Drosophila melanogaster: one gene and its partners. The protein of the gene in region 1 purifies or fractionates together with the protein of each later gene. This does not show direct contact. Each region holds a gene or a part of one and is shown in the gene's direction. Other genes may lie near its edges. The genes, in order: CG18748, CLIP-190, Arpc1 and RhoGAP19D.

Region 1 (7,481 bases):
CTGGAGAGTGACCTTCAACTGCACGGGCTTCGTGTGCATCAGGCAAAAGTGTTCCACGGCTTCATTGCTCGCCGGTTCCCGGAGCATCTTGGTCTCCTGGTTCAAGTCCAGCAGCTTTAGCACAGTGAAGCCCACGTTGTGGGTGCGATTGGAAGCTCCTGGCTTCAAAAAGGTGACCTTGGCCAGATACCGGATGTGTCCATAGGCACCCTCGAAGGACGAGGGGCAGTGGCTGGGAATGGGGCAAGCAAAAGTGTAGGTGTACGTGCCGGCGTCCATGTTAAAGTTGCTGCCCTGCTCGGAACCCATGAGGTAAGTGGTGGAGGCTATATAGTCCTCCCGCCCGCTGTACTGGTGCTTTGATCGCTTCTTGGGGTTTTGGATTGCCACCGCCTTACCATGTCTGCGGATGCGCCACTGGGCTTGCGCATAGCCACTTATTTGCAGTTTTATTCCTAAAAGACAAGAAATATTAGAATATGTAGATCTTCAATAACATGACTTCTTAACAGAGAAATATGAGATGTGCTGACTAACATTTATAATATTTCCATAATAATACTATAATATAGGCTATAATATAGACAAAGAAATCAGTACCTTAATAAAAAAGTTAAAAAAAAATACAACGGGCTTCCTAATAAAACTAGCTCACTTTGTTTATCTCTTTGGGTTACCTCATAAGGTAGGGGTAATATTAGGATAAGATAAAACAAAAGCGAGAAGCACTGAAAGACATTTCCAAAAACAGTTAATAAAAGCGTCTTAGGGGCATTTTAAATTTAACTAATACGGAAACTGTTGACGCACACTATAAAATTATTCAAATTGTTTAAATATTTGATTTGGGCTGCAAGCACGCAGATGCAAAATGGAAATGAAATAACTTAAAGACAAAAATTAACCTTTTTTTTTTTAAATAGAAGTAGAAAACATATATTTCGAAGAATCAACAAAACTTGTTGTCCATATCACTGCAAAGCCCAGACGAAAACCGTGAGTAAGTTCCCTGGTATTTCCTCGAAAGAAAATATAATTCGTTGGGTAGATCCCCAACTATAAGTAAGGTTGTTATCGCTCCCCTTCGGCTCCAGGAATCATCAATTATCGCACATTTGGAGTGTCCGCATAGTTATCACTTAATTACCCATTTCAATGGTTTGTTGAATCTTTTGCTTTTGCCAAACCTGACATTATCCGAAGCGATAAGATACGCCGCGCTCGATAAGCGAAAGCCCCCACTAGTTTCCGTACTGTTGGGGTATCCTAGTTGGTCTTACTTACCTCGCAGTTTCTTGGTCTTGTTCAGATTGACAATCACCTTGCCGGTTATCACCTGGCCGGTGAAGTAGGTGCCGTGCTCATTCTGGTCGAACGTTATCATGCAGTTCTTCGACATGTTGGCGAATAGGTAATGGGCTTATGCCTCTCCAGAGCTTTTAGATTTGCGAGCGATCCTAACGCGCCCGCTGCTAAACACGAACTGGGCCAACTGTATTGCTAACATGGCCTGGACTCTCATTTTCAGTTTTACCGTCGGCTGGCATTATCTTATCGGCTCAACTCAGTACAAAACCCACTGCAATATTTGTCTATCTGGATAGTTGGCAACGCGGCCAGTTGAGAGAAATTCCTTCATTAATTTATTAACAACTTATGCGATAAATCAGGGACTCCATTATCCTCTATTTCTTTATTGGTACAACGCCCTATCATCGCTATCTCAACCTTGGGAAAACTGGCCCTCATCGATCAGTTCTGCCTGCCAATTTCGTACTTCTCAAATTGCTGTCACTTACATATGTAAATACTCCGATAGCAATGGTAAAAATTTGTGTTTAAATACTGAGATACCTATCGCATTGATAAGATAAAATAAAAATGTTGGCCAAATAAATGCTGCACAAAAAATAAAATAAAAATAGCCGCAGCGGGTGACTTCAGTTTGTTGGGAGCCACGACACAGACAGGGCAAAAGTTAAACAGCTCCCGGATTATCATACAAATTATTCCGCACAATGGTAATCTGTGAGATTGAGTTCTGCAATAATTCCCAAGGAATTTTTTATGCAGGCCAGTTGATTTCAGGACAGGTGGTCATTAAAACTGAGAAGGAAAAGTCAGTGAAAGGTAAGGCGCTGATTCATTTTGCTCTACTCAAAACAAACGTTACTTGCTAAAAGACTTAATTGATTTGAAGTGCAAGTGTTGCAGGGGCTTAAAATAGCTTTTATTTTTACTTCAGCTGTAATCCTTAACATCAAGGGATATGCCGAAACCCACTGGGCGGATACCGAACACGATCCGGATGATCAGTCGAATGGTGAATCATTCAACGGACATGTGGACTACTTGGCCACTAGGGCTTATCTGCACGGGTCTAGTTCCAGCATAGGTATGTTCGAAGATGATAAATCACCATAAATCTAGAGATAATGAAATCAAAGCTCCATTTCAGAGGTGCTTATTGAGCCTGGCACCAGCTCGTATAGATTCGCCTGTCAGTTGCCCATCACATGTCCCTCTTCTTTCGAGGGGACACTAGGTCGGATACGTTATCTGGTGAACGTGAGGTTCGTGCGTCCGTGGAAGTTCGATCTGAACTTTAATCGATGCTTCACTGTGATCAAAGTGATGGACCTGAACTCCGAAAGCCTAATGCTGAGGGTATGTTTCTTAGTCTCTCCACACACTATGGAATAGTCCACTGTACCATGTGTTGTACCAAAGACATTAGAATAATGTCTAATTCTAGTGTCTTTGGTTGTACCATGGTCAAGTATAAAATTTTATATTTTTATATTTTATAAATTTTAGGTACCTAGTCAAGTGGAGTCCCAGCGAACTTTCTGCTGTTTTCCCTGCCGCTCGTCGCCACTCAGTATGCGACTTTCTGTTCCACAGAGTGGCTTTGTGCCAGGACAGATCGTGCCGGTGGAGGTGATGGTCTCCAATGACAGTGGTGTAGCCGTGGAGGACATAACCGTAAAACTGACTATGGTGGTGATTTACTACAGTCAACCCCCGTCCGCGGACACCAACAAGGACCGTTTTGAGATGGTCCTGAAAACAGGCGGAGGTGTGTCGACCAAATGCCGGCAGCAGTTTACCTTCGATCTTAAGGTGCCGCCAACTCCGCCAACCTGCTTTAATCTATGCAGCATCATTCAGATCGGCTATCAGGTGGAAGCGGAGGCCAGAGTTAAAGGTTGTCATGGCGGCCAGTCCCTTCACATGCCCATAACTATTGGAAGTGTCCCGCTAACGAAGCAACTCCAAAAAGAACCAAGGACTTGGGGTGAAGTTCTGCCACCCCAGCAGCTAGATGCGAAGGCTTTGATTTTAATTGGCAGCGAACAGAATGGAGAAGCACTCGGAAGCCCCAATCCTTGGGCTGCGGATCCTTCAATTGGTGAGTAAAATAGGAGCTTTAAGGAAATTCATACAAAACTCCATATTCGAATTTAAAGATCATAATTCAAGGAATCACTTATTTATTTTAGCACCGCCGAGTTATGCTGAGGCTAAACACATCTCCCCGGATCCGCACAAGTTCTCGAAATCGAAGAAAAAGTCTCAGAAAAGAGGTGTAAAAGGATCACAAGAGAGGAAAGCTGAAACAATTGTGTTTTCACCCTTATACGCAGTCTTTGATTTGTCAAACCAAGTGGACGAAATGACTTTGAGAGCAAATGAACCCAAGACTGATGGCGGCTATGTCAATGAAGGTGTAGAAAAAAGCACTTGGCTTTAGAAGGGCTTAAAAATGAATGTACCCACTCTGTAAATAATTAATAAGTAATCGAAATACAACAGACATGACAATTACCCTGTGGTTGAACGCAAACTGCGGGAACTTTTCGTCGACCTCAGTGAGCAATATTTGCTGAGTTGTGCGATATCTTATCGATGAGTTAATATATTTATTTGAGTGAAATTGCTATCTTCAGATGCGAGAGCCTCAACTCATTTGGGGGCACTTGTTTTTACACCACAAATATAAGTATCAGCTGTTTTTGGACCTGATAATTCAGTTCTCATGTTAGCTGGTTACGAATGATCTATTTATTGTATAAAAAAATTGTAGGGGGTTTTTGGGTTTACCAATAAATAGATTTATGGGTGTACTGATAAGATAAATTACCAAAAGCTCTCCGTTGCACAAAATAAGTGGTAAGAAACTTTTTAGTTCAGTTTGATTGCGGCAATTGAAGGGAAAACATCTTAACAATTAACGACAGACTTAAATTCATTAAAACTTGTGCTTTAACCATAAAAAACCATGGGAATAATTTGCCAAATTCTTTTTCACAACAACACGCAAGGGGTTTTTTACGCGGGCCAAATGGTTGCTGGTCAAGTGACTCTGAGCACTGATAAGGCGATTCAAATCAAAGGTAAGTACTCAGTTGTGATTGCGATACTTCATATAATTCTCGCAACATTTTACATATTAAGCAATTCGACTTAAGCTAAAAGGTTATGCAGAGACCCATTGGACCGAAAGCAAGACTGATTCGAATAACAAGTCCACTTCAGAGTCGTACAATGGATTTGAGAAATACCTTTCCAGTAAAGTTTATCTTTTGGGTTCCGAAATTAGCCCTGGTAAAATATTGAGTGATAATTTGTTATTGAAATTGGTCAAAATTTCATTTTATGTATTCGCAAAGAAATGGCTTTGGAGCCGGGAACTAGGTCCTACAATTTTGCTTGTCCAATTCCAATCAATTGTCCCTCATCGTTCGAGGGGACTCATGGTCGTATACGTTATATGGTGGATGTCAATATCATTCAGCCGTGGAAGTACGACAGCATTTTCTCAAGAGCTTTCACCGTTATTCAAGTGATGGACATAAACACCTATAACTCTGTTTCACAGGTAAATATAACATGAAACGAAATTTTGGAGGTCTGCTATAACAATGTAATCGCTTTTAAGGTTCCCGTGCAGGCCAAGACTGAGAAAACCTTTGGGGTCTGGCCCTTCCGATCGGATCCTCTAACGCTGGAGCTGAATTTGCCGCAGACTGGCTTTGTGCCTGGTCAGACGGTACCCGCAAATGTTCTGATTGGTAACGAAAGCAAAATTCGGGTGCACGAAGTGAAGGTTGGACTATCAATGATGATCACCTACTACAGTGATCTAAGTTCAGGTTCCAAGTGCGAGCGCAAGTCCGTGGCCAAGTTAAAGGCAGATGGAGTTTTGAGGAACTCCCGGAAAATGTACGACTTCCAACTGATGATACCCTCTACTCCGCCTTCATGTTTCCATCTGTGCCGCATTATCAAGATCGGATACCAGATCGAGGTTGTGGCCAAGGTGAAGGGCATGCATATCAATGGAACTCTGATAATGCCGGTGACTATTTGTGGTGTTCCGATATCGCCGTCAGCGGTGCAATATACGCCGCAGAGCTCTGGGCCAGAGGCTCCAGAACAAAGAGCTTTGACTTTGATTGAGGGAGAGGGAGCTTTTGCTCCAGCTGCTCCCCCATATCCCTGGTCAGAAGGATCCACACTATGTAAGCTGTCCTTGTTTTAATATGTCCATATCAATTATGTAACCATACGATTTTTATAGCGCCACCGAACTACGCCGAGGCCATGCATTCCCATAGTGACTCTGAGAAACAGTCAGAGTCGGGAAATGCGCAAGAGAAGTCTTACAAGCCGTTGTATCCTGTCTTCGATTTGTCTACTTCAACTGTAGAAAAGAGCAAGGAAGCGGCTTTGGATAAAGAGGAAAAGAAATGAAGGCGGGCGAAAAAACTATTCTACATTTGAGAACCATTGGACATCCCATCCCACGCCTGCTTGTCAAGAAGTCCTTGGGATTTTTCCGGAGATATGAGGGCTATTTGCTGCTCGACTGCATTTGGCAAAATGTATAATTCAAAATTGTGACAGCGATAAGATAAAGTTTTTCTGGCCATCGCTACCAATATAGAACAACCGCAATGTTTGTTTTATTCTCAGTTGATTTCTGGCAGCCAAGTGGGCATGTGGGTGCTATCGTCGCGAAAAGCGGTTCCTTCCACTCTGTCTGGAGTTCTCGGAATTTAGGGAGTAAATAACTGAACATTGGCATTAAAATCAAATCAGTCGTGTTTGCAGCGGCATCAGAGTAGGATCGGCCCATAAATACACGATTGCGGTTACAATTACAATTATGACTGTTACCTGTGAAATTGATTTCGATAACAATCCCCATGGCACCTACTTTGGGGGCGAGGTACTCACTGGCAGAGTTACGTTGAAGCTGGACAAGATGAAGTTGGTAAAAGGTGAGGGGCAGTTGATTTGAGATACCTTTGGAATTTGACAATATGCCATGAGTCATTCTTATCTTATCGTCCAACTTAAAAGTGCGGTTGAATGTTTTTAAACGAAGATTTAGTCCGGTGACTCATATATTTATAGTGAGTAGAGAACCACACGTGCGAAATCTAATGTCTACATGAAGGTGTTTGGCGAACATACACAAATGCATCAATGATAATATTTGCGTTCGATAAGATTAAATTATTTTTAAATAATCAATGGGTTTCGCATTAATTAATATTAAATAGGGGTGGATACATATTTGACTTTTTCATATATACAACGATTGCTTTTGTAAGTTTTTATGGATATTTCATGTGAATGCATAACAGTAATTCTGTATGATTAAAAGATTTTAATTTGTCAAAACCATAATCATCGTTTAGATGACTTAAAAAACAATTAAAGAATAAATTCAATTCGTTACAGTACATTGAGCTAAAATACCTTTCTAAGAAATACCTTATCAACTTCTTCTCCGCAGCCATCACCTTGAATATAACCGGATACGCAGAGACGCGTTGGATTGAAAGGGTGACCACAAACAGAAGGAGGAGACGTCGCACATTCTGCGGCCGCGAGGATTACATAGCGTCCAAAACATTTTTGGTGGGATCCAATCTGAGCAGTACGTAAAGCTCCATTTAGGCAAGAAAGTCCATCTAATTGCTAATCATATCTGCAGGCCAAGTATCCATTGAAGCGGGAATTCACACTTACAACTTCGTGTGCCTGATTCCCACCGAATGTCCTTCGTCCTTCGAGGGATCACACGGCAGGGTGCGGTACATGGCAACCGTAACCCTCGTCAGGCCCTGGAAATTCGATCAGAGCTATACCCGATGCTTTACGGTGCTAAAAGTGATGGACTTGAACTTCGATAGTCCACTGCTAAGGGTACGAATCAAAATCAAACACGAATACATATCTGTTAGAACCTAAGCTAATTGAATATGTTATGTAGGTACCCGCCCACAGTGAAACCTCGAAGACCTACTGCTGCTGGCCTTGCCGATCAGATCCGTTGGCCCTCCAACTGACCGTTCCACAGACAGGATTTGTACCTGGCCAGAATGTTCCCCTTAGCGTGCTGGTCACAAACGATAGCCACATTCCGGTGGAGCAGCTCCTCATTAGTTTTGTGATGCTGGTGACAT
Region 2 (7,951 bases), on another chromosome or scaffold:
TGCTGACAGGCGCCTGCCCATTCCCCTTAATTTCATGCCATTTCGGGGGTTGCAAATGGCATGCGTGCAAATAAAGAAAAAAGAAAAATGGTCGGTGTATACACCCCCCCCCCCTCCCACATTTTTTCTGTTTCAGTTTCTTTGACTTTCTTTTGCTTTAGAATCATCGATTTCTTGGAAACTCGAAACCCTTGTGGTTGCAAGCCATTAAGGCTAAGAGCCGTTGCCACCTCTTAAAGTCCACCGCCCCCACTTGCGAAAACCCTTCGCCGAGGGTGGCTTCATTGTTCTCGAAGAGGCAATTTGTAGAGGTTCTTCGCTAGGGTGTATTTACAAATATTTTCCCCAAAGATTAACCCCTAACGAGAGGTTCAGCGTATCTCAATATTCCCCCTGTTTTCTATTTTCCACATGTCCATTCACACCAAAAATCCAGCATTTTAATTAGTAATTAGTCACGCCTTCGCAGTCGATGACTCAATTGCTGGTGAGAAAACGCATGAAACTTATTCGAAAATGAACGAAAAACCGGAAGCTCGTTGGCTCTCCATGTGGGGAAGGGTTTTCCAAAGAAGAAGGGATCGTTTCCCCATTTCGAACAAATAGCGCGTGGCCATAAGTCACGGATTGTCACAGCTTAATTCGAAAATCAAGTCACGTAGGCGGAAAACGGGGAGCGGAGTGGATTGGAAGGAAATTAAAAATATGTTTCCTAGGTTAGGGGGAGATTAAGTTTTATCTCTTTAAACACTTCTAGTATCCTAAATTTAATTGAAACCTTCCGAAATTTGTTACGTACTCTTTTCAATATCGAAGTGCATTGTTCAATTCAGTTTCATTAATTAGTCAATTTATGTTTGCTTTATAAAAATGTAATTTTAATTGAATTAATGGTAGACAAACTGAGAATTTTGTTTATTTTTGTTGCTCTTCAATTCCGGTATTATCCATCATCCAAGGCACTGGCTAAGTGGAATTTTTATTGAATTCTTTCCCTATTCTTTTACCAAATTAGTTTTCAATTTATGACACAATTTATTTTTATCTCTCTTCCACGGCAATTAATCTTCGCAGTCCAAAAATAAAAAGTTTCCTTCTATTCCAGACATTTCCACCGAAAATACATCAAAATACAGTGCGTCCTCTGAAAGGTGACATTCCACGTTCATAATAAGTCTTAAAATTAATAATAACATCTCATAGTTGGAATTTACTTTGTGTAAGTAATTAAAAGAAATAAACTAAAATAATTTTGTAGTTTATAATCTGTCTCGTTTCAATGAACATAATCTTCGATCTGTGAAGTATTGTTAGATGGAAAATTGCCATATCTCGCTTTTTCAGCGATTAGAATGACAACTAACCTTATCTACGTATCCTTTCGCCTTTCAGAGCGTTTACTGTATGTGTATACAACAAACACAAGTGAAAATCGATGAGAGACATGTCCCGTTGTGAGAACATCTGTTCGAGGGTAGCAGCAGCTGTGAGAGGGGGCGGGGTCCTGCGAGAGGGCGGTGAATTTTCTGGGTGGGTATTTCCCATTTACTATTTCTCCGCTGGTGCATATTTTTTGGTCCTAACAAAAACGAAAGTTGGTTGAACTTCGACAAAATTTTCGTGCCGGCTGCGGCGAAAATAAAAATAAATAAGGATAACACGAATAGTGCAAAGTGGCGAAGAGCGAATAACGGCGGTAATTATTGTCCTTGAGCGCAGTCCGAAAAGGGAGAGAATGGGAGAGCCGCAGAGAGAAAGAGCAGCTGATGGGAGGACAGAAAAGGAGGAAAAGGATGAACCTCCGACGGCTGCTGCAAATTATTGATTTTCAAGCAACAAAAGGAAAATTCGCCACTGCAATGGAGATGGAAAAACTTCGTTAGCTCACCGGCAACAAACCTCCTTTGCTTAAATGCCGCACCCTAAAGGTATACACATACGCCAAACATTTTCGATAAGCAACTAATTTAATTGCTTTATCAGTACTTGTACATATGTAAACTCTACTTTTACTTTTTCTGACGTCAAAAGAAAACTTTATAACTAACAATTTTCTAATCAACTTTAATACCATTTAACTTTGTAATATAAAAATGTATGCTTTTTCCAATAAAATGTTATTAACTTCGTACATTAAGTATTATTAAGAACAGTTTAAACTTTACTTAGGAAGTAATGAAAACCCAATTTTTTCCGGAGCTACGAAACCGGCTTGAAGAACACCTTTTCTTTGTTCTCCCTTACGAATATACACTATACAATAGCGGTACGCACCTGCGATGACAGTGTCGGTAAGTGAGTACTTCGTTCCAGTCCTGGGAAAGTCCTTCAGCTTGCGATTGGTCAGGATCAGTTCGCCGCTGAAGTGCGCTTCTTCCAGGATTCTTTCCAGGGAGCGCGTCAGCTGGGAATGACTAAGCAGGGCAGACGAGGTGGAGGAGGAGGTGTTTCCAGCGTGGCCTATTCCAGATCCCGATCCTGTTCCAGATCCTGGAAGGGAAGCCGACCCGCTGCCGATGGCGCTGCCAGCGGCGCTGCCGACGCCGACTGCGACGCTATGTAGGCGTTGGTAAACCGTTGCTGCCATTTCCCGTGTAGGCGTGGCGACACTTCCACACACTTGCACACACACACGCACGCGCTAAACTATCACACCGATAAGGAAACGGAGTGAAGTGCCGAAAGAAACCGAAACTGGAAACTAAATTTGCTCTATTGAAACGCACGCATCTCGATTATTTTTCATTTAGTGTACGTCTTCTTGGCTCATTGATAAGATTTCTCGGAATTGGATTTTCCTTTTGCGGCTTCCTTCTTGCTTCCTCTTCTTTGCCTCCTCGCACACACGCGCACTCACACACGCACAAGCTCACGCAGCAGACGAGCGACAGTGCACAACGAAAATCGAAAAACAACTGAATCGGTTTATGGGATGCTACTTGGGCAGCGCTGGAAACGTTGCTGTTAGTTTAAAATCGGCGTGCCTTTGAGTACTATCGATAAAATACCACAGTGCGCCGATGATACACTGGCTCCATTTTTATCGCAATTCGAAATGTCAACAATCTTACATTTTATAATGTAATGTAATGTTTGTTTATTCAGAATGATCTACCGTTTAGCATTTGCCCCTTCAAATTTAGGGCATTATTAGATTACTGAGTCGTTATTACACCGAAACATTTCATATAACTACTTAAAGAAAAAATGAACAAATGACCAGGTAACCTGGTATTGGAACCCGGCAATAAACTGGTTGAATATTAAAAAACCATGTTAGACTAAATTATAAATTCGTTAATTTGTCAGTTGTGTGGGCTCAGATCACAAATCTGAATAAGCTCAGCGACGCTTCCATTATTGGTGACATAATTTCATATTTTACATATTTATATTCACGAATAAATATTCGCCAATTTCCTACAGGGTGTTTTTGTATGACCGCATTACTCTAAAAATACCTCGGGAAAATATAGCCGCAACTATCGATTGGCGCGCTGCACTGGAGCTGTGCTACCATCGCTAACTCAGTGCAACAACAAAATTCCAACGCAACGCCAACTAAGTGCAAAAAAAATCTAAAATTTGTGTAAAATTGTAAAATCCCAATCGCGTATATTTCTAAATCGTATTCGCACAGCACAGTATGTAAAGCACTCCAGTTTATTTAAGTACTGTGTGTGTGTGCGGTAAACACACACCAATAAGAGTGCGTTTTCGCGTCCCTTTTCCCACCCTCTTCTAATGGTTCCCTCTTCTATAACTGTGTCAAATCAGCAGCAACAATAAAATATAGAACAGAGCTACAGCGTGCGTGTGTGTGTGTGTGAAATGCACAAATTGATAAGCAATTTGATTCAATTTAATCTTGTTTAAGTCTGATGAATATCAGCGCAAGCAGCCCAACACAAAATTATAAATAAAAAGTTACGAATTTATATAAATAGAATACCCTTGAGTGATTTTGTTAGTCGCATAAAATTAATTCAATACATATTTGTGTTCCGCATTTTTTGAAAATATAACGAAGTTCTGGCCAACGAGAGCAACAACAAAAAGCGGTCTTGTTTGTTTTTCAAGCTCAACGAAAAAAAGAAGAAAAGAAATCTGCTCTCAGTCAGCTGTTTTAAAGCAGCCGCCTAAGTGCGAGTGAGATAGCTGCCTGCGCGCCAAAATAAAGCAACAACAAAAGTGGAACAGTGGTTCAAAACCTAGCTAAAAATAAAAAAAATCCATTTATTTTTGTAGCAAAAATATAAAATAAAAGCAAATTAAGCGAATTATACATATATTTGTTAAGGTAAGTGATCAGCATTCCATTTATTTTACCAAAAATTATTCTTTTGCACTTGTTTTTCCCCCAAGTTTTTTAAATCGTTTACTTTTAATACGCGTGTGTCCTAATAAGTGAAGATTATTAAGAATAAAGTAAAAAATGAGTGATGATACGAGCGCTTCGGGCGGGACAAGTGCCCCTTTTCCATCGCCAGTTACTGCGGACCCGGAACCAGGAGCCACTGCCTCCAAATTACCGGGTCCCATCAGATCCAATATTCCCACGCCCGCTACTTCTGGTACCGGAATCCCGCAGCCCAGCAAAATGAAGGCACCATCTAGTTTTGGATCGACGGGTTCTGTTTCCAAAATCGGAAGACCGTGCTGCAATCACACAACTCCCAAATCCGGTCCACCACCAAGAGGTAAGTCTAATCGCATTGTGCAACAACGCAAACCAGTTAGTATTATTGCTCAAAGCAAATATGTTACTAAGAGCAGTATTTTTGAAAGTAGTTAAAGGTCTTAATTATCCCCTGGGTTTAATTATCATCCATTTTACAAGCTAGAATTTAAAGCAAGATGAAATTAAAACACATCTGAACACCAATGGGAATTCAACCAGAGCCCCTTTGAAAATCTTGTCAGTGCATTGTCACATACATATTAACATCTTAACAAAGAACATTAATTTCACAATTCAAGAAAAGGGGTTTTTACCGATTTCCACTTTTATACGCGAGTTCTTCACTTATAAAACAGTTGGAAGAAGTCTGATAATTGAATTGCTCTCCGGAAAATATCGCAGTAAAATATGTTTCAATAGTATAGCCCACCACTATACTATCACCAAGTACTCATGAAGGTTAATATTAAAAAATGTACCCACATTCAAATGGGAAAACAGAAACCCAAAAAGAATGGTGAGTTTAAATAATGCACTTTTAAGTTTGACATTGTAAAGGGGTCATTTCATCAAGTTTACTTACTCTCTACCCTCAATACCCGAGATTTGACTACTTTTGTGTTTGCATCTTTGGCTCAAGCAAGTCAAGCATCCGCCTACATATATATATGTGCACCCACAAGATGTAGATTGCTGTATACTATAAGCGAATGCAATGATCTAATGGAAACGATGACAGACCCACTCACTTGCTAAATATATACATACATATACGCTGACCCCACCCCATTTGAGTGCACTTTTTGCACTACATTGAACTTGCAATTATTTCGGCGAGAACTCGCGTAGTTAGTGTAAATTCTTCTCTAAAGAGAAACCATTAATAATTCCCAGCGTCAACTGTTTCGTTTGGTAAACAAATGCTTCACTTCTTTCAATTATTTAATCGTTTTGAAACACCAACGCACAATTCAAAAATAAACAAAACAAATTGCCGCCCACTCTTAACTCTCGATCATAATTATAGAGCTGCCCCGAAAAGTGTTTTTGGTAAGGAGAATTATGGCCAATTAGGCAAGTGCTGCTACCATTTAATTGATCCGCCCAATGTGGCTCATTTCAGGCACGTAACCGCACCGCAGTCGTCAACATACGACGACCCACTGGCCCATATAGCAAACGATCTGCCAAACGATCCATGGATCGATTGACGGGTTTTCTATTTCGCCGGCACACACGTTCCATATCCGATTGACAGTCGCAATGCAACCGCAAAATCGTAGAAATTTATTCCCTGTAAATTTACCCAAAAACACAAAAATTTGTAATGTTTAGGGTTACAGAAAAAACTGAGTCACGAGGTGTATTTAATTTGCATCCATAGAAATAGTTTACACGGCGCTATGTGCACTGTGATCATTTAGATTATCACTTTGTATTAGATTGGTTTTGTAACTAGTTTGTTTGCCCATTTATACATTATTTTTAAAATCGTTTATTGGTCGTTTATTGCACATAATTATTAAACCTATTTCAGAAATTAAGCTGTTTGCTTGGCTCAATGAAAGTCCAGTTTGTTTTGATAGCTCCGAATTTTTTGCTTTAGTACATTTAAATTTCTACGCTGATTTGTTTCAAATACGCCAGTGTTGATCGCCATATCAAAGAGATTATTCCGCATTTTGCCAATTATTAACGAAAACGAAGTGATATACCGCATGTCCCAAATAGTTGAACTACTTTAGTCAATTAGTAGTTTATGCGACGCGCTGCTTAAAACCAAATCCGTTCCAAGCGCCTGAGCGCCTTGATCCGCTGCCCAGATCAGCTTTCTAAAATCTCTCCTAGCATTCTGGAACGGACTGTTTGACTATCTGCCAAGAGACCCGTCATTTGGCCCGCCATACTCAATGCCAAAAGTCTGCGAAAATCTACTCAGCTCAAATGCGACCGAGAAAACCTGGCGACCGGCCGGCAATCTATCTCTACGTCGTCGTTCCCTAATTGAATTTGTTCTGGCGATGACACAGAAAACGTACTCAAAACGTATCTTCTAGCTTGTTCGTGAGCTCAGATCTTTTGAGGTGTTTTTGCGCTGCGCATTTGATGCCGGGTTCCGTTCTCAGTCGATCTGATATGAAAATTGCGGTCGTGGTGCTCGTGGATGAGCTTATGTCACTTTTATTGGTTTCGATCGGAAACAAAAGTGAAGTGAGCCTCTCTCCCACCCATAAAAACGGAAAGCTCATTTGTCTTCGCATTAAGATTGAATCGAAAACGCGTTCGGGATTGACGTCCAATGGATGAGCATCGTCTGGCGGGGGATTACTCCATTCGATTCTAGATTGAGCCCAGTTCTGTTTACATCACCGACTCCGTGGGAGAGTCAATATTGATGTTATGATTAACCACTTTTTGTCTCACTTATTTGACTTCACATCATTAAGTCGTTGAAATCTTTATAATTGAAGACACGTGTTGCATATTTAAGCTGAAAACGTCTCGGGTTTCAGCCAACAGAAAACAGTATCTTCTCTTAAAAGGAATATATATACATATTCGATTTGATAAGTTATGTATTTGTTATAGTTTAGAAAATTTTATTAAATACGTGTTTCAATATTTCAATGCGCTTTTTTGTGCATTGTCTTAAAAGCTGATTCATAGATGAATCTAAAGATAATTGATTCTGATTAACTGGCATTTAGTCTCTGGAATTCATTGTTACAATCTCGTCAAGCAATTCTTAAATTGTTTTCCTACGTGTAAACTTTATATATAATTAGACACAACCCGGCGTTTAAAAACTTTATCGAATCTTTCAATAGCCACTTCAAACATCTTTAAAGAAAAAATAATAATTTTCCAAAACTTACATACTTTTTTATAATAAATTTCACTGCTTATAAATATTTATATTTTATGAAATATATAAGGTCACATAAGATTTCTTCCAAGTCGAAATCCAAAACATATTTGCCTATTAATTATTGAATACAACAAGAACATATTTTTTAGAGTTTTCAAAGCCAATATGGATTGTTAAAAAAACCCAAAAAGTGAAATTCCATTTTTTCGAACTCTTGCTTAGTTATTTTCATGCATTTACTGCACTTGTGATTAGAGTGCTAAAAACCATTGAGCGATCGATCCATATGGTATCGAAGAAAGGGAAAATAAAATTGCAGCCATGTGGCAATTCTTTGTTTGCCGGATTAACTCACTTTGCGTGTCCGTGCAAAAGTCGAAAATAAAAACATTTTTTTACGG
Region 3 (7,499 bases), on another chromosome or scaffold:
GGTATTTACCCTCCTACGAAATATCTGTGCAAGCTTTAAACACCCGACTCTTGCAGAGTTCAGGGCCTCCTACGCGGTGGAGCTATGAAAACCGAGGATAAACCCATTTGGTACGATGTGTACGCCGCCTTTCCGCCGAAACTGGAGCCCCGATTCGACAGACCCGCGCCTGAGATTCCAGTGCGCCAGATATTTTATGCCGAGGATGTTGTCCGAGCGTATGTTTTTCACCTGCAGTCGGGCTTATACCAATACTGAACTAATCTTGTACACCAACAGAAAGCTGCATAAAGAAAACAAACCCCAGGAAACGATATCCCTGTTTGACCACAGGCGCAGCACGCAGTCACAGCAATTTGTCCAAATATACCAGGACCTGAAAGGACAAGGAGCCCTGGATGAGCAAAGGATCTACGAGACCGCACTGGATCTTTTGGCGGAGCAGCGCCAGCAGGCCCGCCTGGAGACTACCCCAGAGGAATGCCTGCCAGAGCAGGATTCGGAATCCAAGTCCCAGCTGCTGAGCGACTTCAAGGAGGCTGTGGTGAGCCAGCAAATCACGTCGTCACCAGCACCACCTGCTCCCAAGGGAAAAAAGGAAGCGAACGTGGGCATTAACATAGACAGCTTGTTCAAGGATTAGGCGGAACATCTTTTATAAACTTAAAATAAACTTGTTATATGTAAATCAAACGGCCAATGCATCGTTTTGGGACTCGTGGCTGAGTTGCGTCTGCAGGTTTGACAGCTTGTTCTTCAGCACCTGCACACCCATGACCACAATGTTCTCAGGCTTAAGGGCACCGGCGGATTCGACGTTGAAGAAGAACTTGTTTGGCTTGGCTTCCCAGTTGTAGGGCGCCTCGTACTGGTCGTCCTCCAGTTCGGTGTGCTCGCTCTTTGGCCACTCATCAGGTTTGGGATACAGAGTGTGTCGCATGGAGTTGTCCGGATCATACTCGAAGCACACGCCTGCGGTAGGATTCCACTTGGCGTGCTCCTTGCCAAATCCCTTCTTGGCGTAGGCGCGCAGCTTCAGCTCCTGCCCCTTGCGCAGCTTAATTATGAGGATCTCATCGTTGCTCTCGCCGTACTCGTTGTCCTCCTCACCCTGGTTGCGGGACGTCACCGGCAGGACCTTGGCATTGCTCGACTTGAGATCGGCGGTGGTCACGTGGCGCGTCTGTTCCTCGCTGCACTTTACGTCCAGGGTGAACTCCACGCTGCATTCGGGGCAGAAGTCCAGGCAGATACAGTCACGCGTGTACTGCAGCCGCTCCACGACGTCGTCGGAGATCAGCGGTATCAGACCGATCCGGTGGGCTAAAAACTCATCCGAGAGCACCGTAGAGTTGGCTTCCAGTTGCACCCAGTCGATGGCCAGCGTCGGCGTCTCCGCGATGAACACTCGCCGCAGGCTGTTGGCCACACTCAGTTCCGTGTCCTCCAGGACGAACTTTACGTTGTCGTCCGTCAGCTCGGTTATCTGCACGGACGGCTGGTTGGCGTACGGCATTGCGGTTTTGTTTTGATGAAATTAAAGGGTCACGAAAAAAATAACCCGCTCAGTGAAAAGGAAGCGATGGAAGTGCAGCAATAACAGCCGGCGATAAGTGTGCCGTTATCGATTGTTGTTCTCGTTTCGGATTTATAGCTAGATTTTTAACAATAAGGGCTGGATATATTAAATTGAACAAATGTGATGGAGACATGTTTAATTAAACTAGATCACAATAACAAGAAAATTGCTTTAAATTAAGATAGAATAAACACATAAATCAACATTTTTGCAAGGACAATACTTTTCAGATAACATTTAGCTGATTGTTCCGAAACTCAGTTCCACCTCTGATTTTGTGCTGGTGAGAATGTTGCGTCTGTTCAGCAGCCGTTTTTACTGCAAAATTGCAACAAAATCGAATGAAAAGGCCACTAAATTGGACTTCAAGCAGCTAACGCATCCCACCAAGGTGCCACAGACACCAGTGGACTCGAAGTTTCCCGACACCAGCGCCTCCGAAATCCAGATCGACACGAAAACCATCCAGTTGCTGGAGCGGCTGTCGCTGGTGGATCTGGATAGCGAACGAGCGCTGGCCACGCTAAAGAGCAGCATACAGTTCGCGGACAAGATTGCCCATATCAACACGGAGCACGTGCGTCCACTGTACACGGTCCTGGAGCATCAGCAGCTCCAGTTACGCAACGACCAGGTGACCGAAGGCGATTGCCGGGCGGAGGTGCTCCGGAACGCCAAGGTGACGGACGAGGACTACTTCGTTTCGCCGCCGGGCAACATTCCGCTGGAGCAATGAGTCGCATACAACGATGCTTTAAGTCCCTGGCTTCCGCTGGCTTCTTTCGCACCGTGGAAGACAATAAACTGGAGCTACTGAGTCATGGAAGGGAATACGCCAAACTGTTGCAACAGCATTGGACACGACTACGTCCCTTGGCTGCGCACCTGGGCGCCACGAAAGAACCCATAAATCCAGTCAACATCCAGCGTTTTTCCTTTCCACAAAGCCAGCAATTCCGTAACAATTTCCAAAAACTCGTCAAAGATCATCCTCGAAAGGCCAAATGTCCCACTCTTCTGAAACATCAAAGCACTTGTTCTGGTCCCACTAGCAATTCCCTATTTGGGATAAAGGGTCCTACGCTACATTTAACCACGGACTTCCTAGTGGAACCACATCGCGCACTGGAGCACTTCTACAACATGCAGCGTGAGAGCAAGATCTGGTGGATGCGTCTTTCCTCGAATCCCAGTCGCTACCGCATCGTACCTTGCGATTTGGCTGAGGATCTCAATCCCAACGACTATCAAGCCATCGATATCCGCACGAGCTACGGTGATGCAGGAGAAGTGACCGTGGAGCAACTGAGCCTGGTGAGAATAGTGGACGACAAAGACTTCCGGCTGCCCGATGCGCGAACGGGTGAAATTGTGCAACCGACTGTCATAAGGTCTGTGATAGAGCTGGAAACTACCACCTGCGGTAAGTGGTCATCATAACTATCTTTGAAAATCTTTCTATATTATTATCCTTTAGCTCTGCTTCTGGATGGCTGTGATCATGGCCGGGACTCGCAATCCCTGCTCTTACACCGCGTTCTGGCGCCATATCAATGTGGAATTGCCTGTGTGGAAAGTGATTCCGAGCTATCTGCTGACTTGTCTGATCTTTGTCAGCATCTGAAACATGTTCTCAACCACGCCGGTCTTAGACTTTCTGAAGGGGATGGAATTCGTACGACGAAGAACGCTTCTCATTTAGCAGAGCACTTGCTGGAAACGGATATGCTCGGCATACCTTATACACTTGTTATAAACGAGCAAACGCTAAGAAACGGACTGATGCAGTTGCGCAGCCGGGACACAAGGCTGGCGGAGACCATACACATAAGCGATGTACCGGACTATTTATTAAATATATTTAAAAACTAAAAAAAACAACCAGGGGCTACATAAAGTCGCAGAGATATTGGCGGACATTAAAGCCCACCACCTTGCCAATCTGCAGGACAAACTCCAAGCCAATGGTGCACTGCAGCCTAGCGGAACCTTCCATTATGTTTTGTTCGCCGGAGACGAAGCTTAGTAGATTGAGGTGCACCAAAGTTGAGATCTGGGAGAGAAGGTTGCAGGTCAGACCGACTTTCTCCTCTAGAATGGCGTAGAAAATGGCCAGCAAACGATCGATGCTAAAGGATTTGGGTCCCAAAGTGGTGGACATTTTCTCCGTGGTCTAAAAGGTATTAAAATAAGCAAATGGAGTCATCGAAAAATTGAATAACCCACCTTGGCTCTGGCGTTGACCGTCTGCATCCGCTTTCGCTGTTTTCCATGGTGCTTGACGAACAATCGCTTGTCCTGCTTGGCGGCATTGTGGCTGGCTAAGAAGGCAGCGATCAACAGAAATTTGGCATAGTAGGGCAGCTCCAGCGACTGCGCCAGCTTGCGAACGCTCTGATCTTCTATGGCGGTGAAATCTTCAACTTCTTCCGCGGGTTTTTCAATTCGCATATAAATCTGGGTTAAGGCGGAACGCAGTGGTCCAGCTATATGCCGCCAAAGCCGGGAGATGTCCGTGGCATCCACAGTGCCGTCGAGTACAGGCTCCAAGTATGTGGACAGACACTTCCTGGCGGTCAGCTGGAGCTCTGGAACATCGCGACAGGCTTTGTAAAAGACGCTCAGAAAGAGATTCAGATAGTTGTTGTAGAAGTCTTCAGTTACGGCTTCCTGGCAAATCTCCAGACGCTTCTTATCCTGGGCGAACTGTTCCAGCAGTTGATTTCGCACCTGCTGAAAGTCAGATCCCAGGATGCGCTGTGTCTCCGCCTTGTTGTACTGCGCCAAGTGCAGGCAGACGATTTCACTAAGTCCGGTCTTGTTGTAGAACTTCTCAAAGGGCAGCTGGGAGAGCAGAATAACGCACAGATTCAGGTTGGTCAGCTCCTGCAGTCGGAGAAGAACGGGCAACACATTGGCATCCATGTCGCGCAGCCTTTCCGCGTTATCCACGGCTATGAGAAATCCCTGATCCTCCACGCGTGTAGCGGCCTGCCGACGCAGCTGCTCCACAAAGTCCAGCATGTTGTCGACCTTCAGCGCATCACCTTGATCGGGTGCCAGCGAGTCTAACAGGATCTCCAGCATTATCTTGGTGGTGTAGCATTCGATGGCATTTAAATGCGCTGTGCGGACATTTTGCCGTTTTCCACATTCTTTGAGGAAAGCTCTGGTCAGAGCTGTTTTGCCGGTTCCACTGTGTCCGAATAGGTAAATTGCCGAGGGATATGTCTCACTCGAATCTCCTATCAGCTCGCCCAGCGTTTCAATGGCCGCCTCCCGACAGGGAAACAGCGGCTCCAAGGAGGAGCAGATGGCTTCCATAGCTGTCGTCTGCTTTTAAGTTTCCTCAGCTACCCACAGGCGAAGTGGTGTTATTTAAACGGGCTTTCAAAAGGGAAAATACTTCCTCGGTTTATAAAATAACAAAAATAAATTACGAGCCAGCCAGTTATTAAAAATTTGTTTACAAGAAATGGTTTCTGTTTAGTGTGACCATTGAAATGGCGCCAAATTATTCCCTCTGGTATATACCGAACGTGCGTAACAGCACTGGTACCTTAGCATTTTTCAAACAATCGAAAAATATCGATATAACGAAATAACGATAGTATTGAGGGCCATCGATTTTTGTTCCAGCTCTAATTTCGGGTGATTAATTTTGTGCATTACTTTTCCAAAGAGTTTTTTCCACAACGCTCTACTCTTCCGGCCCAGGCAAAGCCAGAATCCATCCCAGCAACGCCAGCTTAATCGTGTTGACGGCCCAGAGTCCGCGATTAAAACGAGAGCGAAGCTAAAATCCAGCGGAAACAACGCCCAATTGCTACACAGCGATATCCAAAATCCGAAAATCCGGCGAACCGAACCGAAGAAACTACGCGTGTGGTTGGATTTGGACGAGCGAACACTGCACATTCCGAGCGCATTTAGCCACCCACGATGGCCGAGACATACACCTTTGGCACCTCGCTGGCCTCCATCACCTGCCACGCATGGAACAAGGATCGAACCCGTAAGTGCGACCCAAATTACTCATCCGGCACAGTGTGACTCACCACCACCCACTCCCAAAAATTCGCAGAGATTGCCTTATCGCCCAACAACCATGAGATCCACATATACAGCCGGGAGGGCAGCGACTGGAAGCTGGCGGACGTGCTCAACCAGCACGATCTGCGCGTCATGGGCATCGACTGGGCCAAGAACACCAATCGGATTGTGAGCTGTGCCGCCGACCGTAATGCCTATGTGTGGACGCAGGGCGACGATGGCAAGTGGAAGCCGGCGTTGGTGCTGCTGCGCATCAATCGGGCGGCAACCTGCGTCAAGTGGTCGCCGGCGGAGAACAAGTTCGCTGTGGGTTCGGGCGCCCGACTCATATCCGTGTGCTATTTCGAGTCGGAGAACGACTGGTGGGTGTCGAAGCACATCAAGAAGCCGATCCGCTCTACGGTCACTTCGCTGGACTGGCATCCGAACAACGTTCTGCTGCTGGCCGGCTCCACGGACTACAAGGTGCGCGTTTTCTCGGCCTTCATCAAGGACATCGAGGAGCCACCGACGCCGACGCCGTGGGGCAATCGCAAGCCCCTTGGCCAGCTAATGGCCGAGTTCCGCAACTCGCAGACCTCGGGTGGCGGCTGGATTAACAGCGTGAGCTTCTCCAGCGACGGTAACAAGGTCTGCTGGGTGGGCCACGACAGCTGCGTGAGCATCGCGGACGCTACCAATGGCAATACGGTCATTCGATGCCGCACCGGCTATCTGCCCTTCCTGTCATGCGAATGGGTCTCGCCCACGTCCGTCGTGGTGGCCGGCTATAGCTGTGTGCCACTGCTCTACAGTCTGACTGCCGATGGAAAGCTGGTGCTGAGCGGCAAGCTCGATAAGTCGCAGAAGAAGGAGTCGAGCGGCATTACCGCCATGAGAATCTTTCAGTCGATGGACCGCAACATGCGCACGGAGAACACGGACACGGTGGTCGATTCCATACATCAGAACGCCATCACCAGCGTGCGACTGTATGCCGGCGACAAGGCGAGCGCCACCAAGGTGTCCACCTCGGGCGTCGACGGGCAGCTGGTCATTTGGAATGTGGAGCAGGGCGGCATCAATGGCGGCATGCGCAACCTGCAGATCTAGTGCGGCCCGGAACGGACCAGCGTTACGTGTTATTGTCTGTTAGCGAGTGTGTTGGCCTGGCCAGGAGCGAAGTATTTGCCAAAATGTTTTCCAAAATCGCTTTTCCCATTGTTCTGTACCGTGCGAAAGCCTTTTTACATAAATTAACCGAAGAGATTGTTCTTTCCCCCCCCCCCCCCCCACCAACTTCCATAATGGTTCCGAAAGTGTGTGTGTGTTTTAAAGTGTTTCACCTTTATAGCAAACTGAATAAAATGTTTTTTATTCGTAAAATCAAATGTTAAGTGTTTGTTTTTTAATAATTAATCGTTTCAAGCAGCAAGAAATTTGATTTGTTGGAATTTTTTGAAAATGTTTTATATTTATTTATTATTAATTTAACGGAAATAAATTTGAATTAAATCAATGTGACCGCCGCGCAAGCGCACAAAAATACCTAGGCTGGCGGCAATCTTACGGAGGAGTGTGTGGTCGCAGGTTGGACTTCAGTTGCCTTAAAGGATGTTTCCTTTATTAAAACGAGGATGCAGTTCCACCTGATCAGAAAGTACGCCAGCAAAGTTAGCCGGGAGCACTACGCCAGCAGTAGCGTGAAGATCTTTCGGCGGGTCAAGCCTCCGCAAAAGGTAAACAAACCAAAGAAGCCGGAGAATGTGGAGAATGGCCCAACGGAATATGCGGAAAATCTGGTCAAGGTGCAGATGATCTCGCGGAATTTGCACGCCCAACTGTTCCCACAAGCGCCGCGAAGCATTTCGGAGCAGCAGGTGGCCTC
Region 4 (8,076 bases), on another chromosome or scaffold:
CTCCGCCCACGATGAACAGTTTGTTGTTCAGTACGGCCGTGCCAAAGTTGCCTGGAATGCAATGGAACATGTATATTGTCTGTACAATGATATAATACGAATGTATCCTAATTCGAATCCGAACACTTACACTGATCGATGTGCGGAATGGCGGTCAACTCATACCAATTCATTTTCTTTGGCGAAAAGCACATTATTACATTGGTCAGGCCGTTCCACTCGAAGCCCCCGATCTTCAGCAGACACAGCTCCATGCCCCGCATGTTTGTTGGTCCCTGTGGCAGTGACTGATCCTTCAGGGACACCACTCCGTTGAGTAGGTGCCCCATGTGCTCCTGTTTTATTCGGTTGTAGTAGCTGGTAGGCAGTGGCAGCTGTTTTCCCTTATCCAGCGAGCAGTTCATGTTCCTCAGTTCGTCCACGGACTTATAGCTAATGTGTTGCCATTTGATCAGCCTCAGCAGATCCCCCAAAGCGCTCTCATTCAGCTGTTGTTCGATCGCAAAGCTGCATACCAGACGCACCAGATCCTGCTCGGCCACGTCAATGGGATAGTTGCTGCTGAGGATGAAGCGCAGCTGGTCCACCTTCATTTCTTTAAAGTCCGATGTGGTCGCGAACTCCTCAAAGTGAGCGCACATATAGCGGTAGGCCCGTTCGGATAAGTCCATAATTCCATAGATATCGGCCATTCCCGCAATGGCCAGGCAGTTTTCCATCTCGATCTTTGCGCCCAGAAAGATCGTGCATCGGTCAATCACCTCGCGCACCTGGACGTGCGTGGCTGCCGCCAGGATCTCCTCGATGTTATCGTAGTTCAGTTCCAGCATCGATGTGTATATGTAGTCAATGATCGAGCCCATGGCCCTGGCTTTAATACCGTAGAGATTTATCTCGTCCTTACGCGACTCAATCATGGCACAGTCGGCGAACATGGCGCAAAAGTAGTCACTGCTGGCTGCCAGGACGACGCGGTGAGCCTGCAAAGTTGGGATTACGTATTTCGTTCGATTACTTGGGGAAAAATGTTACTATAAGTGTAATAAGTGTAACGAAAAACGCTGATATTCCCCATGTTATTTTTGAAAACATTTGAAATCAGATTTCTGAAAATCTGTATCATAAAACATTTCTATGAATTTTCTGGATTTATGTATGTATCTGAATATATGAGTCTGATTCCGGGAATCCCTAAATATTCATAGGTAGCGCGATGAAAATGCGTCATCGGCCGAAACACATCAATTTGTGTCGCGAATTTGTTTTCGTATTTGTATTATTAGCAAGAGAAAGTAAAGATGAGCTTTTTTGCTGGCCACGATTATCGATTCGCCTACCACTTGCCACTCTAACCCTATAACTAGTCACCTTATGCTTTCGTGGTTTCCGATATATAATTAACACGAGCTCGCAAAATGGCCAAATGGCCAACTGGCCAACTAGCCAAACTGCCAAACCGCCGAGTTTAGGATGCGAGCAATCCGGTTTAGTGCGATTTCTATTTGTCCTATGCGCAGGCCATTGAAGGTATTGTCGTAACTAACCTAGCCTAATCACAACCAAGTTGCTCTGAAAGATAATCTATGCATACTTGCTATGCGCACTCTGGGAGCCAAACTTGTGCAACCCAACTTCATCCGCCTTCGCCGATGTGCCGTGTCCATGAGGCTAGACGTAACCGCTCGTAGCTCAGCTGATCCCACAGATGTGGCACGATCTCTGAAGCAGATCCACAGATGGGGCTGTTCCATGTAGCTATTGCTCGGATCTATAATGGTGTGGGTGGGGTCCTACCTTGAATCGGTGCTCCTCGACGATCAGAGTGACGTCCGTGAGTTTCTCCTCGTTGCGCAGCTTGTTGAGGCCCCGCAGAAGGGTCTCCTCCTCGGGGGACACGGGATTCACAGGAATTTTGGCCGCAGCCGACGTTGCTGTCGCTGCCGGCGTCACTGCTGGCGCTGGCGTCGCTGCCATGCTGTTCGCTGTACTCTCTCGGAACGGACCAAAGATTAGAGCGGGCTATTAACCTATATATATGTTAACCTATGTGGTCCCAAGGTTGGGGAATCCGTCTGATAAGAAATTCTTGAGATGACCGAGCTTCTGGTGCGCGAGTGCGAGTGCGAGCGAGAGGGCAGCACGTTCTGTTTACACTCGCGGCCAGCTGTCTACAAACCGTTATTTGGCGAACTATGAACCGTTCTACGACAAATATACGCACGAAATTAGCTAAATTATTGCTAAACACTGGCAGAGAAAAAAGTTTCGCGTGCGATTTCTTTGCTTGTTGCTACCTCTTTGCTTCTTTTCCCTCTTGCGACTTTTTACTTTTCGCGTTTTTGACGTTTCTTCTCTTGACGTTTGAACTGCCAAGTCGGCTAGCACCGCTAGTGATGCGCATTTAGCTATCGATTGCGGAGCGCGATCGTTTAAAATTATATTTTCAAATTTCATATATATACCCGTATTCCTGGGTGCTTTTAATTGGGAGACGGGTGAGTATGCAATTTAAAAGGTTTTTATAAGAGAATGCTAGCTTTTGAAGTCAAAAGCTCGCGAATTTCCCCTTTAACATTGATATGGTAGCATTTAAAAATGAAATTGTTAAATTTGCACCAAAATAAGTCTATGTTAGTTACTTAGTTTAGCTTAGTAAGATAGCTTACGTTAACTTTAGGCAGAAATATTAATACTAAAAGAATAATTAATTAATTTCTTTAAAAAAGTCAATCTTATCAGAGACATTGAAGTATTTCACGTTAGGCAGTTGTTTCTTGTTAGAAAATGTTTTTCGGATCCGCAAATAATTTTGATACGAGAAAAGATATCTAATTAAGTATTATATATTATATAAATATATATTTAAATTAATACACTATGATATTAGTGTGGGTGAGTTCAAATACACTCTTAAAAATACGCGTTCCATTCTTGGACCAACATTTATTCAGCGTGCTGTATCTATTCACTGCAAATATTTCAGAATAAAGTGCAGGCTAGCAGGTAAAAAAATTGTATTTAATTTTTTTTCTCACAATATCTATAGTCTCCAGTGTTAACTAATGGCCAAAGTTTCGTCCAGTGGTGATATCGCAGCATAAGCCGATAAGCTGCTGCAAAGTATCGACATACGTCCAGGCATGAAAACATCGATAGCCTGCGTGGCATCGGCCGTATTCCACCTCTACTCGACTGGTCTGGTCACTCGAAAATCACATCGGACGAAATCGAGTGGAAAGCGGAGCAAGTAAAACAAGAAGTAGAGTAAAATACACAACTAATTAATTGTAATTTGGCCGAAAGTGCAGACGGTGCGCGCGCGATCGCTTGATTGTATTGTGAATCATTAGTAATTAAAGCAGCGTAAGTGCTGGCGCAACCACAACAACAAACGTGTGGCGTCAAATTTTTTTTTTGTGAAAAGAAAAAGGCGAAAAGTGTAATAAAAAAGTAAAAAGCAAGCGATGAATGTGTGCAAGGCGTTCCAAAAAATACAAGGATCGATGCAAGGCGAAGAAAAACACACAACGAATTCGGCAAACATTTTGGTTGTTCGCTAGTTAAAGTAATTAGTTTATTGCTCGCCGCCGCCGACGACGCCAAAAACAACAACCACAACAACAGAAGCAACGAAAGAAAGCAACAGTCAAATGGCGAAGAAGAAGCAGAAGCTGAAGCGGCAACAACAATTGGAGTGCAAAATGCAACGTGCATGAAATAAAGATTTTTACTCTGTATTTGTGGTTTTTTTGCACAGGCCCAAATGAAAATTGTCGCGCTGTTTCTTTTTCTTCCTTTCTCTTTCCCGCACTCTGCAACCTTAAAGAAGAAGCAAAAAAGCGGAGCAATTACGAAAGGAAGGAAAAGAAATGAAAAAGAAATGAAGTCGTGTAGGTGTGTGTGAGTGTGTTTTTGTGTGCGGTATGTGCGTGTGTGCGCGCCACATGAGGAAACTGCCAGCAGCGACGCCAACTGCGGCGTCGGCAGCATGTAGAACCCAAAAAATAAAGCAAAACAAAAAAGTCCACAAGAAAAAACATAAAAACACAGTTACGGTTACGATAATAGTATCAATAGCATCGCGTTTACTGACAATTAAAATTTGTTAAAAATAACAAACATTTTAGTATCTTTAAAGTAAAATAATCAATCTTATGTCACGAAAGTAAAAGAGTGCACTCCTTTCTACTTTTCTTGAGTTATCGGTAGTTAACGGTAGAATGCCCTTTGAAGTGCTATTATTTTGACCGTTACTGCTGATTTTTTGGCTGCCACTGACTCACATTTCATTGATAAGAAGAAGAAGGAAAAGAAAAGAGAGGAAAGAATGGGAAAGAATTGAGGAATGTCCTTAAATAAACAAACAATAAATCGCCTTATCAGCTCCACACCGTTTTTGTTGTGTTTTTTCTAGTTTGCAAAATTAAAACGAAATCATAAATATACAAAAAGGAAGCAACAAAAAAGTTTAAAAGAAAATCGTCAGAAAGGGAGAAGAAAATCTTCCTGGTTTTTGGTAAGTATCATAGGCTTTTTGTTTATTTTATAAAAATGTTGTGTAAATCTAAACAGTATAACAATTGAAGAATCGGCACTTTTCGGCCCATTTTGTGCACTCTCTTTATTGCTCTCTTGCTCTGTTCCCATCTTTCACGTCTTCCATTTTCCGTTGTATGCCAGCAGCGAAAGTTGTCTTCCTGCTTTTTAGGTTTTTTTTTTGTTTACGTACCACCAGACTCCCTTCTCTCTTCTACTGGACCTCTTTCTCTCATTTCCTCTCTGCGGAGAATTCTTCTGCAGAATTCACAGAGACAACGCAAGAAATTAGGCGAATAAAAAAATGTGTTCATTCTTAAAACTTCTGAATTATTTTTTATTTTTTGATAAATAAGTGCAATAAATTTTCATTTACAAGAATTGTAGCCCTTAACAGTCAAACGATTGCGTTTGAAGGGATTTAACCTTTTTCGAACTTTAAAACCCCTGTCACATTGAAGAATATTAAAGAATATTAAAAAAAGTAATCAACAGGAATAAATTACTTAATTTCTGAAATTATTCCCAAATTACCGCAGTATTTGCTGGCTATAACGATATTGCCATATAGCGCCCACTTAAAAATTGCAGGATAATTTTCGTGAAACCTCCGTAATTTGCAATCAATACTCAGCTGGTTTAAAATTTCCCATTTCGCAGTGGAATTATCGGGCACTTTCGGCCAACTTTTTACCCATTTCCTCTACTGTTTTACTATTTTGCCACTTAACTTCGTTGACATTGCCCCTAACTTGAGGACAATGGGCAAATAAAGACATGAACAATCGGAGCACACGCACCTCTGCTGCAAATGGTAAAAGTCAATAGATAATTATGTATAATGAGCAAAGAATTACGTTGCCCAATTGGCAATTATTGCAACAATAGTTAAATCCATTACGTGTTTCTGCCCCCTGCGAATGCCGGCCAATAATAACGGGCATTTCCAGCCCGAGCTCGAACTCGGACCGAATCACGAATTGTAAGAAAACTCAACTTTATGCGCCGGACTTTGGTTACTGTTACTGTTATTGCCTCTCCATGGGCTAATGTTATTTTGTATTTTGTTTTCCAATTTTTTTTTTGTGTCTTGGTCAACACGCAAGAAGCAAAAGTAAAAAAAAAAAAACCAAAGGGGCGAGTAAAAAAAAAACAGCAACAAACTAAAATTACATAAAACCTTGAAGTTACACGCGCAGAAACAAATGCTCTATGAACTTTGCTCACTTATTTGCTAAAAAATAGGGTTCCAATGGGGTTCTTTAAAATCTCGAGCTCGAAACTGAAAGGAAATCGAGTTCGGACGTGTTTAATTATTATTAAAAAAAAAAAAAACTAAGCATAGAACTTCAAAAAATATATGCGATTCATTTAAATAACTATATTGAGACTTGGCAATCGTAATCTAAACCTTTCTCGCCATCTCACCTCCTCTTATTTGTAATGCGAAGTAAAGTGGCCCAGCCCTTTCTCTCAGTGTAGGGACGTGGCTGGGGGCCTGGGAACCGCTGTCTTCACCTTCTGCCTCAACTCTAAGCCTATTGGCAGCGGCCCGAGCACGAGCCGCCTTAACCCAAAGTGGGGGAAACGAACTCGGTTCGCAGCCAAGCCGCTTGATTAACCTTCTTTTTTATTACAATATTTTTGTTGACTCTTTTCGTGTGCTCATTGCTGTTGCTGCTGCTTTTGTTTTTGTTTTGGTCGTGGTTTCAAGGCGGCCACGTTCGGGATGGGAAATTAAATGCACTGCAATTACTGCACCCAAAAAAAGCCGCGCAATATACATAAATACATGCATATGTATGTGTATGTGTATATGTGTGTATGTATGTACAAAGAGAATGGAAGTCAGGGGCAGATAGGATCTGGGTGGCCAACGCGAGGGGATTAGAGTTCAAGGGAAGAGCGTTGTCGAGGGAGGCTTCACATTACCTGTACAGTGGTCACCCGGAACATCAGATTGTGAGGCTCTGCAAAATAGCATATGCGTAAAAAGCAATCAATTTACATCTCTCGTCTTTTTCACTTTTATGTCATGCAATTCGAGTTTTGCAACACCCCATGAGCCATGCACTTCGATTTAACATATTTATTTAGCCATTTTTTTCGTTTTATTTATTTTTTTTTTTGCAATCTATTAGTCACTTGTTGTTGCTGGTGGTCGTCGGTTAATTAAGCTCAAACATTTGTCAACGACTGGCCATTGTTCGTTTTGTTGCTTTGTTTGGCTTTGTTGCAAGTCGCGTGAAAATTACAACGTTATACAATTTAAGTACTAGAATTAAAAGACTTGTTGTTGTTGCCGTGGTTGCTGTCGCATGACGAGAAAGCGGCGGCGAAAACACAGAGATGACATAACTAATGTCACACAGATGAGATCAGAATAATGCTCTCCATTTAAGTTGCTTGATAGAGGCAATGAGTATTACAAGTAACTCTCTCTCCCCCTCCCCCCCACTCCCCTACATAATTGGCGATCGATGCGAAAGTCCCACTCCCACACCCAATAGCCAAAATCAGTGCCGATTATGCAAATGCTACGCTATCACTGCACTTATTTTATTTTTCGTTTTGCCCTACTCCAGATTTGTTGTTGCTCGAAAAAAGAATGCCAAGGTCGTCGCTTATTATTATTCACTGTCTTCGGGCTTCGAGCTCTTGTTCTTCTCGCTTTGCGATAACAGAAGATGTTAGTATGTATGTACATATGTACATAGGTTTCTAATGAAATGGCAAAACTGCTGAACGTGAAAATGAAACTGCGGCGGAGAAATAACAAGTGCGACGGAAAGCAATCGAATTTGGTTGAGTAAACGAGTTACCGCCCAGTGCCGCCCCCTTTTTCCTCCAAAACCGGAAATGGGGGCCAACAAGAACAACTCGCCGCCGAGCGTTACACAAAATATTTAACATATTTTATCGCTTGCCGATGCAGGCACTTGGCTGGCATTCTATAAGAACATTTGCTTGGGGGCCACAAGATATTAGCTGACCAAAGTATTGACATTAGCAAATCATATTGAAGTAGATTTGTATGGGTTGTTATTTACATCAAATCAAAGCACTTGGAACCCTATACCTCTGGGGCTACATGAGCGATCGTCCCAATCATCTCCCTTTGCAGAGTAAAAAAAAAAAAAAAAAAAATTGTGTCAAAACGAACTGGTACATCGCTCTGAATTAGTATTTATTTTAATATTCATATTGATATTGATATTGACGGACAAATGGGAAGTGCAAACATATTGAAATCGTCGTCATTGGCACAATTGTCTTTGCTTTGCCTTATCATCGCCGCCTGGCCGAAAGCAAACTAAAGCCAATTGCAGAAACAGACGGGCAGTACTTGAAAAATGAATTGAGCAAGCAAATTGCAGGGGTAACGAGAATTCGCATTCGTATTCGAACGAATGGCTATGGAAATTGAAGTGGAACTGGAAGGGGGCGGGGGGAGCACTCTGATTGGGATTTGGGGATTGGCTTGTTTACCACTTATCTGGGTACCAGCGTCGGGTGAATCGGACACCTTCCGTGTGTCCT

What was found.
Region 2: the proteins of CG18748 (region 1) and CLIP-190 purify together in Drosophila melanogaster (affinity purification with mass spectrometry, with the first as the bait; one large-scale study listed by BioGRID). This does not show direct contact.
Region 3: the proteins of CG18748 (region 1) and Arpc1 purify together in Drosophila melanogaster (affinity purification with mass spectrometry, with the first as the bait; one large-scale study listed by BioGRID). This does not show direct contact.
Region 4: the proteins of CG18748 (region 1) and RhoGAP19D purify together in Drosophila melanogaster (affinity purification with mass spectrometry, with the first as the bait; one large-scale study listed by BioGRID). This does not show direct contact.

What each region holds. Positions count from the first base shown.
Region 1 is NT_033777.3:7,784,645-7,792,125, reverse strand, and holds CG18748 (uncharacterized protein), read left to right. Parts: upstream 1-4,202; 5' UTR 4,203-4,282; coding exon 4,283-4,397; intron 4,398-4,458; coding exon 4,459-4,608; intron 4,609-4,673; coding exon 4,674-4,882; intron 4,883-4,942; coding exon 4,943-5,525; intron 5,526-5,584; coding exon 5,585-5,757; 3' UTR 5,758-5,956; downstream 5,957-7,481. Other genes in the region: CG10086 (uncharacterized protein), read right to left, coding at 1-455, 1,285-1,399; CG18746 (uncharacterized protein), read left to right, coding at 2,019-2,130, 2,246-2,395, 2,459-2,667, 2,818-3,412, 3,504-3,754; CG18745 (uncharacterized protein), read left to right, coding at 6,173-6,287, 6,809-6,952, 7,010-7,221, 7,289-7,481.
Region 2 is NT_033779.5:17,381,196-17,389,146, forward strand, and holds the start of CLIP-190 (cytoplasmic linker protein 190), read left to right. Parts: upstream 1-3,819; 5' UTR 3,820-4,300; intron 4,301-4,365; 5' UTR 4,366-4,435; coding exon 4,436-4,700; intron 4,701-4,950; exon of another isoform or gene 4,951-5,134; coding exon of another isoform or gene 5,135-5,198; intron 5,199-7,951. Other genes in the region: Lrch (Leucine-rich-repeats and calponin homology domain protein), read right to left, coding at 2,275-2,587. UniProt on the Drosophila melanogaster protein: Together CLIP-190 and jar may coordinate the interaction between the actin and microtubule cytoskeleton. May link endocytic vesicles to microtubules. May play a role in formation of furrows during cellularization.
Region 3 is NT_033779.5:13,827,441-13,834,939, reverse strand, and holds Arpc1 (Actin-related protein 2/3 complex, subunit 1), read left to right. Parts: upstream 1-5,198; 5' UTR 5,199-5,230; exon of another isoform or gene 5,231-5,296; 5' UTR 5,297-5,521; coding exon 5,522-5,594; intron 5,595-5,663; coding exon 5,664-6,724; 3' UTR 6,725-6,999; downstream 7,000-7,499. Other genes in the region: mRpS23 (mitochondrial ribosomal protein S23), read left to right, coding at 1-1, 57-218, 280-643; Polr2C (RNA polymerase II subunit C), read right to left, coding at 689-1,516; GatC (Glutamyl-tRNA amidotransferase, subunit C), read left to right, coding at 1,869-2,315; PolG2 (DNA polymerase gamma subunit 2), read left to right, coding at 2,312-3,002, 3,057-3,451; Orc5 (origin recognition complex subunit 5), read right to left, coding at 3,468-3,752, 3,806-4,903; PolG1 (DNA polymerase gamma subunit 1), read left to right, coding at 7,249-7,499.
Region 4 is NC_004354.4:20,505,806-20,513,881, reverse strand, and holds the start of RhoGAP19D (Rho GTPase activating protein at 19D), read left to right. Parts: upstream 1-3,187; 5' UTR 3,188-3,363; intron 3,364-4,414; 5' UTR 4,415-4,516; intron 4,517-8,076. Other genes in the region: CG1812 (uncharacterized protein), read right to left, coding at 1-51, 131-980, 1,795-1,974.